2 linked regions of the Macaca fascicularis genome follow. The protein of the gene in region 2 interacts with the protein of the main gene of each other region in a pairwise test. Links are inferred from orthologs where the notes say so. Each region holds a gene or a part of one and is shown on either strand. Other genes may lie near its edges.

Region 1 (4,869 bases), on a different chromosome or scaffold from region 2:
TTGAACCCGGGAGGCGGAGGTTGCAGTAAGCCAAGATCGCGCCATTGCACTCCAGCCTGGGCAACAAGAGCAAAAACTCCGTCTCAAAAAAAAAAAAAAAAAACCTTGAAAATATTTATTTAGACTCTATGACAAGCACTCTGACAAGATGCCATCATGTTTCCCGTAAAATAAATTCAACAATGAACCGAAAGATGAATATATTCTCTTGAATCAAAGGTCCATATAAATGGTTGGGGGGGAGGGGGGAATGCCCTTCCACTCTTAAAAATTATTCTTCCTTACTAAAAATCACAAACTTTGATATGACTCTCAAATAGACAATAAAATTGGAAAATTTCCAACACTGCATTTCTAACTTAAAATATTTTTTCCAAAGTAAAAAAGTACATGGTCGTTTTGTGTGTCAGAAGAAGAAATAGGAACTACAAATAAAGAAAAGGAATATGTTTAAATGACCATAATCCCATTACTCAGCGATAATTACTTGCTGTCAATCCTTCTTAACTTTTCCATACATTCATAAATACGATGAGACTGTAAATCAGACAAAAAACAAAAAAACCGACCCCGATAATGATCTTCGGCGCAATGGGCAATGTCTAACGACTTCAATGGCTTTCTTCAGGGGATTCTCAAGGGGGATTTCTTGATCTTTCCCAAAATGTTGGAAAGTCCTTTAAGTTTAAACAAAACCTCTAAACGGGAAGGGATGCCAACCTTTCCTAGGCTGCCTGCAGAGCGGGGAGAAACAGGTCGATCGGAAGATTAAAGACATTCGCCTAAGAACACTCCTCGCCCTAAAGGAATCTGCTTCTCAGCCCCAACCCCAGCTCACCCCAATTCCACGGAGGTCCGCAGATGCTCCCCCCTGAAAGGACAGGACCACTCGGCTGCCGCGAATCAACGCGGCGCGCCCGGAAGCCAACAGCTACTCCCCGGCTCTGAGCGGGAAGTGCGGCGGCCAGCTGCAGCCTGGACCCGGGAACGCTCCTCCCTAGGGTAGGGATGCGCGCTGGCGCAGGCTTTTACCTGTCTCATCTTCCCATGGTTCGGGGCGAGTAGGCGTGGACCGCGCTCTGCGCCTACCTCCCTCTTCCTTCCCCAGCAAGGCTCAGGGCAGCCGCCGACGGCGCTTCCCCGGTTACTACAACAACCAACAAGCAACCGCCCGCTGGGAGCCACTGCGCAGGCGCTGATAACGCTCAGCTGCGGACGCGGGCGAATGTCGTCACCGCCGCGCAGCGCGGGCGCAGAGCCCTGGCCTCGGCAGAAAGTCTTTTTTTTTTTTTCCGCTGTTTTTTTCTCCGCCCCTAAGAGGTTGACTCCAAACCCGGAGTTCCGCTAGGTCCAACAGGAGGGTTTACGGCGTGAGCGGCGTACCTGGGGAGAGGCTTAGGCAGCGGCAACCGCTGATTGGCAGTAAAGGGGTTCACTCCCCATCTCCTGCTCGGGCAAAACCAGGACAGCCAATCAGAGAGAGGACTAAAGGAAAGGACCCAATCCTGGAGCAGGGCTGAGGGAGGGGGTGGGGACAAATGGCTCAGGTGGACTCCGGGCTGGAGCTGTCCTGGGGGAGCTTGTTTGCGGCGGCTGCTGCTGCCACTGCTGTGCTGGGGGTCCGGTCGCCAGGTAAGGAGAATATGGGGGAGAAGAGGGATGTAGGTGTCTGTGTTGCTTCTGATTGAGAGGATCGGAGAATCTGGAAAAATAGAGGTGAGATGGAAGGAAGATACCTGGAAGGCAACCTTTTGGGGGGAAAAGGGTTCGAGAGGCGATGACAAGGGGGAGCTAGGAAGATGGAGAAGGCTGGTGAATTCAAGGAAAGAAGGAATGGATGAGCGAATGAGCAGCCACTATAAGCCTAGCACTGTACAAACAGCCTTCACTTTTTCTCATATGATTCTTACAATAACCCTTCGGGTTGATATTTCTATCTCCATTTTGCAGATGAGGAAACCGAGACTGAAAAGTGTAAATGACTTGCCCAGGGTCACACAGCTACTAAGTGGTAGGGCCAAGATAAGAATCCCTCTCTCCTGATTAAGTTTTAACAGCACACCTATGCTGGGCTGGGCTGGGTTGGGCTTGGCTGGGCTGGGCCAGGGCCAGGACAAAATTTGGAAATAGATGTTATAAACACTCTAGGAGGCCCTAAAGCTTTAGGGAAATTAGGTTGAGAAATTGGCAGAGCAATTCAGAAGTACTCAGGTTCTGTCCTCATCAGCTATCTGTTGGGATTCCTAAGAGCTTCTGTGAAATGGAAGGCGTACTTGTGCAGAAAAGTGGAGAGGTGCATTCATGCAGCTTTTCTAAACCCCGGAGGAGTCTCCTCTTGAGAGAGGGTGAGAAAATAAAGAGGATAGGTGGATCTTGGCCCAAGTGATAATGGCCTATGATATCCAGTAGACTCTCAGTCTCTGACAGAGACCACCTTTGTGATCAGCTCTCCCTGAAGGGTTCATCAATTCACCCTTCCTTCTCTAGATCTCTTTATTGCTTTTTTTTTGGGGGGGGGGGGAGGGTGTTTCACACTGTCTTGGACCATTGCTGACTTTAATATCTATCTCACTGGGTAGCATAGAACAATACCGAAATTTATATTGCCAAAGTGACAAAGAAAGCCTGTTAGTTTATTACCACTTCAGGCCCAAGAGGTTAACCTGACAACAGATAAACCATAGACTGAGAAAATAGTGATGAGGATGGGAAAAAGCCATTCCATTATTAGATTATTTATCTATTTTGGTTTTATTTAAATCAGACTAACTGAAATTACTACTCAACAAGAGTTGATCTAAGCCTTAAAAAAATAAAAGTCTGGGTGCTGTAGCTCACACCTGTAATCCCAGCACTTTGGGAGGCGAGGCCAAGGTGAGTGGATCACTTGAGCCCAAGTGGAGAGGTTGAGGTGGGAAGATCACTTAAGCCTTTGATTTCGAGGCTGCAATGAGCCATGACCACGCCACTGCACTCCAGCCTGTGTGACAGAGCAAGACCCTGTCTCAAAATAATAATAATAATAATAAATTAAAAAATAAAAAGTATGTAATCTAATTGTATTTTCTATACAACTTGAAGACAGAAGAGGATATGGTATGCTTTTCTTAATCAAAAAATGGGAACTTCATTAAAGTAGTCTCAAACAGTGAGGTAGCACTGCAGCAGTCCAACAGACCATGATTCTTATCTCGGCTCTGCTGACTTTGCTGTGTGACCTTAAGAAACTTGTTTAACCTCTCCGTTCCAACCCTCATCTGTAAGATGGAAATATTAATAGTGCCTGCCTACCTCATTGTGAAGATTAAATGGTAATATGTGTTAGGTGCTTGGCACAGTTCATGGTGTAAGTGAACTGTGACCTATTATTATCTTGCAGCCCAACACCAAGATTGCTGTTTCCTTCACTATATAATTTTCTTACTAGTCCTAAAGTCACACGTTAACTTAAACAGGCACAATTTATAAATTTGGAAAAAGAAAAGAGGCTTTATCTCTTGCAAAGGGTTACAGCCACCCAACAGGGAAGAGTGCCTCCCACTAAGATCAGAGACAGGTGCTTTGAAGGAGAAGGGTTTGGGGTAGAGCTTTATGCTGAACAGGTTGGCTAAACATACATGTTCAACAGCTTACAGGAGGAACTATGAATATTCCTGAAGGTGGTCCTGACACGTGCATATTGAACAATCATGTGTAACCACATATGACCCCTGTTCACTTTGGAGTAGAGACCTAACATTTAAGTCTATCACGCCTAGGCTCTATGCGTCAAAAAGTCTTTTCAGGACACCAAGACACTCAAGTGTGTGATCTTGCTAAACTGGCCAGGAGCAGTCCACGGTTGGTGGTCTTATCTGGAGAAAGTTACTAAAATCAGTCTCTTGTCCAATCAAAGGTGTAGTTATAGCTGGTGGAATAGGGGTCATGTAGTCAGCCTCTGTGAGCTGGATGAGCTGTAATTGTTTTAATATTGCTTATCTCAAGCCAGTGCTTGTCTAGCTGCTGGAGAAAAAAAACCTTGTGGCAGAATATAAGTTTTATTCTTTAAATGTGGGAGTGTGTGACTTAACCCTTGCCTGGCATGGCCTTAGGTCTTGTTTATAATTTGGTACCTTATTGCACAAAGAATCTGTTCTGTCATTCTTATGATCTCTATTTTAACTTTAATGCTGGTAAGTTGCTGTCTCTAAACCTGAAAAAGGAAGGGATATAGCAGGGCATGTGAGACCTCCCATCTCGTCATGGCCAGGGGCTCAGTTTTAGGATTTTTCTGGGTTCCCCTAGGCCAAGAGGGCCTCTGTTCAGTCCGTGGTGGGCTTAGGATTTTATTTTGAGTTAACACACAGCAGTTTATTTTTAACTTTTAGATTGTTCTTCTAGTTTATGGAGCATGGTATACCTGAGAACCAGAGTCCAGAAAACCTAGGGATGTAAATAGTGACCTCACACCGTAAGTCCCACTCAAATGTATAAAGTTCCATAGGCTTGGAAGAATCTGTCATCAATAGCCTGGCAGGTGTCTGTGAGTATAGTTATAATCACCTTTGAGCTACTTGCATTACAAAGGAATGGCATGAAAACGTGAAGGTATAGAAGTAAAGATAGAGGACTGATTCCAACCCAGAAAAAGGAGCTCTGATTTAGGGTAATATTTTGCAGAAATTGCTTAGACAAAGACAAGTATTATGCCACTTATTGCAAAGTATACTGTTCATTCACCACTATTAGTGTGACTAAATATCTTTTTTTGGCCTGCTTCATTCTTCCTCCCTTCCTGCTTATGGTTGACATAGACTGGCCCTCATTGTCTCATGTCCTCTGCCTTTGTTTCCAAGGCAAAAAGCCCTCCCACATTTGAGGGGAGTCATG
Region 2 (4,890 bases):
CCTGCTGGAGCACCCTAGATGAGTCACTCCCCTCCCCGGGCCTACACTCATCCCACATCCCCATGATACAACATAAAGCGGTCCACTCCAGTCTCCAATCTCTCCCAGATTTCTGTTGCTGGGACTGTGACTTGCCCAGGGACCTGCTGGACAGGAGCTAGGGCAGGGTGCAGAAGCCCATCCTTCTGCCCCCACTCTGAGCCCAACCCTGCTGTGAATCCCCAGGAGGGGGAGCGAGGCTGGAGGGATTAGGGAAGGGCCAGTGAGTGGGGCTGGGGAAACTTCTAGAGTTGAACACTTCCAGGACCCCAGTAGCCACAGCGGCATTGATAGCAGGAGGCAGCACTGCCCAGATGCTGGGCTGAGTGGGCACCAAGGCCAGAGAGCTGCTTATCAGCCATCATAGCCGCCCCGAGCCTGCACAGCTCACTGCCCCACAGAAATGTCTTTCTCCTGTGGCCAGAGTGGCCCTAAGCTCCTCGGGGTTCCTAGGACCTGTCACAGCTTCTGGGACCCCAACACATGAGTGTGCAAAGACCTGTTCTCCTCAAAGTGTAAATAATACTGTAAGGAAGGGCTGATATTCATTGACCACCTACTGTGGACCAGGCGCTGCTCTGAGCACTTGACATACATTGTTTCATTCAATCCAAACCCCAATCCACTAGGTCAGTTTTATTCTTCCCATTTTACAGAGAAAGACAAGAAAGGTTAAGTCACATAGATGGAACAGGCTGATGCCAGAATGGACACCCTCAGCTTCCTCAGCCGCGCCCAGGTTGACTCCATCACCGAGGGCCAGGGTCCCAGTGCCCCCAGGCTCTAGGAGCTGCTATTTGGCTGGGGCTCCCAGGAGAAGGTGAAGCTTAATGATTTATGGGTGATTAGCTGCAAGAATGCAAACGCAGAAGACACAAACCTTTATGCCCTGGAAATCTGTCACAAGCCAACCAGTTGTTTTCCATCCCTGTGAAGCAGGAGTAATTGGAGGTCTGACAGAAGAACTTCCCAGTTACCAGAAGGAGCAGCACTCACACACTCTTAGTTTTGTGTGAGGTATTGCCCCTGCCTTGGTCAACAGTTCGAGTCAGAGAGAGGGGCACTGGGCACAATCCCCACCAGAGGTTCCCATTCACAAGACCCCGTGGGGGCTGGGAGAGGCCCTGGGGCAGCAGCCCTGGGGTAACCAAGGGAACAAACACGGAAAACCAGGGACGTCAGTCCTTATCTGGAGCTCATTAAATGGGGAACATCAGTCAGCTGTGAAGGCTAAGATAGGGTGATAGGCACGTGGGTGGGCTGGGATGGGGCATGGGGGCAGAGGCCGCCATGGAGAAGAGGTATTGGCCTCAACGACTCCACCTCCCCACCACGTGCCCAGATCCAGGATGGAAGTACCCTATAAATGCCCACAACCCAGCCTCCCCAGAGGCCTTGAGAAAGAGAGCGGTAGAGAGCGAAAGAGAGTGCCCAGAGCCTCCTGGCCCTGAGACGGCCGGGCCAGCCACGCAGGACTCCGCAGCATGTGGGAGCTCCGCTCCATAGCCTTCTCCAGGGCTGTGTTTGCAGAGTTCCTGGCCACACTCCTCTTCGTCTTCTTTGGCCTCGGCTCGGCCCTCAACTGGCCACAGGCCCTGCCCTCTGTGCTACAGATCGCCATGGCATTTGGCTTGGGTATTGGCACCCTGGTACAGGCTCTGGGCCACATAAGCGGGGCCCACATCAATCCAGCCGTGACTGTGGCCTGCCTGGTGGGCTGCCATGTCTCCTTTCTCCGAGCCACCTTCTACGTGGCTGCCCAGCTGCTGGGGGCTGTGGCCGGAGCCGCTCTGCTCCATGAGATCACGCCAGCAGACATCCGCGGGGACCTGGCTGTCAATGCTGTAAGTAGCCACAACTTTGCCATCCACAAGGGGCAGATCCTGGGGAATCCCTTGTAAGGGATGAGATGGGAGGGATGGGCTCTGGGTGAGGTGGGGAGAGAGATGGAGACAGAGGCAGACAGACAGAGAGAGACAGAGCCTGGAGTCAGGAACATAGCCACCATAGGAGGGTCAGGATGAAAGGAGCAATGGTACCAGAGCAAAGGCAGGATGCAGACAGACTGCAGGCTTCTTCCACCCTGACCGTCGTGCAGGAAAAGCCTCATCTGGGTTTCTGTTGGACTCAATGCCTCCGTTATAGTGAGGACCAGGCTGTAACTCAGCAGGGGTTAGTGTCCCAAGCAGACATGCTTTCCAAGCTGTGGGGAGCCTTGGAGTGCTCATGACAGGGTCCTCAAGAGAGAAGAGGGGCCCAGCCTTTCTTCTGCTTTGAGGGTTTGCAGGCCCTATGGCAGGTGCTCCTTACAGGTCAGGCTCAGACACACCATAGCCCTACAAGCAGCAATGGGCATACTTCCTTCTCCAAACCCTGACGAGGTCCCCGGAGCCCATAAGCTGGCTGCTGATTACATGATACAGGTGCTAACTGGGCCCCGTGGGCCCTTCGGGAGCTGAGGGTGGTGCCACAGTCCCTTCCCCCATGTCCCACCCCCTTCCCCTCTCAGGTCTGTGTGGGCCCTGTGAATCCAAGAGACATGAGTGTGGAGGAACGACCTGTGCTCCCAACAGACCAACTCTCACTCTGTACCCCCATCCTAAGCCAGGACAGCAAGTGCCTCTTTTGTGCCTCAGTCTCCAGTATTTCCTGGCCTGTTCCATCCCTGGGCCACTGGACAAGAGTCCTGATGTCTCTGACAAGTCCTGCACAATCTCTGTGGCCACCCGCGTCTCTGCACAGGTAGCCCTTCCTCATTTGTGGGACAGGGGTATCCCAGTTAGGGAACTTCTCTGTTTTGTTTTGTTTTTGAGATGGAGTCTCATTCTGTTGCCCAGGCTGGAGTACAATGGTACAATCTCAGCTCACTGCAACCTCCACCTCAAGTCATTCGCTTGCCTCAGCCTCCCGAGTAGCTGGGATTACAGGCATGTGCCACCATACCCAGCTAATTTTTGTATTTTTAGTAGAGACAGGGTTCACCATGTTGGTAAGGCTGGTTTCGAACTCCTAACCTCAAGTGATCCACCCGTCTCCACCTCCCAAAGTGCTAGGATTACAGGTATGAGCCACCACACCAAGGCTCTGTTCTTTAAAGATGAAATTGTGACAAGGTTGGGGGCCAGGGGCCAAGGACAGGCTAGGTGGGCAAGCAGAGGAGTGGGCTCTTTTCCTCTGAGAACAAAATTAGTTCAGTTTACAGCAAGAAGAGGTCCAGTTAGACTGAAAAAGGAACTTCCTGAGAGCATGACCAGGAAGTTCTTCTGTAATAGCAGGGCACTGGGAGTGAGAGGCCATGGGAAACATGCAGTCCTCCTCCTCCATCATTTCACAACTGACTGGGGCCCTCAGAAGAGAAAGGTCTGGGAGGACTCCTCCATGCCACTTCTCAGCATTTACTACCTTGAGGACCTGGGGAGAACCCTGCCTGGATGTAATGGGGCAGTGGTGGGACCAACTTGCCCTGAGGCTAAAGAGAGCCAGATGATCCTCAAGACCATCCCATGTGTCCTTTGAGGACACTAAGAGCTAGCCTGGCCACCAGGAATTTAATCATTGACATGCACCTGCCCTGTGCCAGGCCAGCTATCATCTCATCATTGGTACAATGCTATAAGGGAAATTCTGTGGTTCCCCCCTATTGTGAGTGGCAAATTGAGGCTCAATAGTGAATTGATCCAAGTCACAGAACCAATAAGTCATTTCCAGTCCCCCCACCATCCTCCAGAATCCATTTTGTTATCCCATTTCGCAGAAGGAGAAACTGAGGCCAAATTAAATAGTCTCATGGCAAGTCAGAGGCCTCTAAAGTGTCTGCTTCCAAAGCTCTTTTCACTGTCCTCTAGAGACTCTGCATTGGACAACAACAGGAGGGATTGAGGTTAGACCCTAGAGAGACCCAAGGGTTCTGACCTGATGTCTCGGACCCAGGGGTGGGGGTTCAGGGCCTGGAGAAAGAGCGTGGGAGCTGAGAGCTGTCACTGTTCCACCCAGCATGGTGCCCAGTCCCAGAAGGCAGGGCGTAGGGCACAGGGTGACAAAACCCAAGGAGAAATCCAGTGCTGGGTGTGGCCCAGTTATGAAATCACCTCTTTACTCAGCCCCGAGTTCTCTCCTTACCCAAGGCAGGGTCTGCTGAGACCATGGGCAACCTACATGGGTGTGGAGGCATTGTCCGACACAGCTCCGGGGCCCTCACCCCAACCTCCATAGGATGTGCAGGGAGCAAACCAACAGGGCAAAGCTGAGGCCTGAAAGGCAGTGGAGAATAGACAAGAGTTAAGGAAAAAGGTGTATGGCGGACTCATAGCAGAAAGGGGCACACTAGGACCATCCCCTAGACCCAAGTCCTGTCCCTGGGAGCCATTTGACCTCAGGAAGACAGACCACGGGCCTCTCATTGCACCAGGGTCTGATGGTCTAGAGAGAGGGGAAGGTCTTCCTGCTAACCAGTCCAAAGCTTCCTGAGGCCGTTGAAACCTCTTCCGTTCTTGTTCTTCAGGAAACAGAAATTCTGGATCTCAGCATCCTTTTTCTCTCACACTGAAGGATCCCAACCTCACCCCCCAATCTAATGGGCTACAGAGTCAGTTTTCCTACCTCTGGCAGGGAAACCACGGGCATCCTGGGGGATCATGGGCTGCCTTTGGGCCAGGGCCCAAGAAGAAGGGATCAGTTGTTCCAGCTAAGGTGTCTGGCAAGCCCAGGTGTTCTGGTTCCCAGCCCAGAGGCCCCCCTGGTGCCTTGACTGCAGGTGGACAGGAAGATGGAGCCAGAGAGGAGAGTGTGCTCAGTGTTCCCCTACCTGCCTCTTTGTCCCCAGCTCAGCAACAGCACGACAGCTGGCCAGGC

The links.
Region 1: the proteins of AQP2 (region 2) and ERG28 interact in binary tests that used the Homo sapiens proteins (3 or more experiments, as listed by UniProt). The link is inferred for Macaca fascicularis from reciprocal best matches to the Homo sapiens genes AQP2 and ERG28.

The regions. Positions count from the first base shown.
Region 1 is NC_088381.1:143,622,904-143,627,772, reverse strand, and holds the start of ERG28 (ergosterol biosynthetic protein 28 homolog), read left to right. Parts: upstream 1-1,530; 5' UTR 1,531-1,632; intron 1,633-4,835; 5' UTR 4,836-4,866; coding exon 4,867-4,869.
Region 2 is NC_088385.1:56,778,769-56,783,658, forward strand, and holds the start of AQP2 (aquaporin-2), read left to right. Parts: upstream 1-1,428; 5' UTR 1,429-1,523; coding exon 1,524-1,883; intron 1,884-4,861; coding exon 4,862-4,890. UniProt on the Homo sapiens protein: Forms a water-specific channel that provides the plasma membranes of renal collecting duct with high permeability to water, thereby permitting water to move in the direction of an osmotic gradient. Plays an essential role in renal water homeostasis.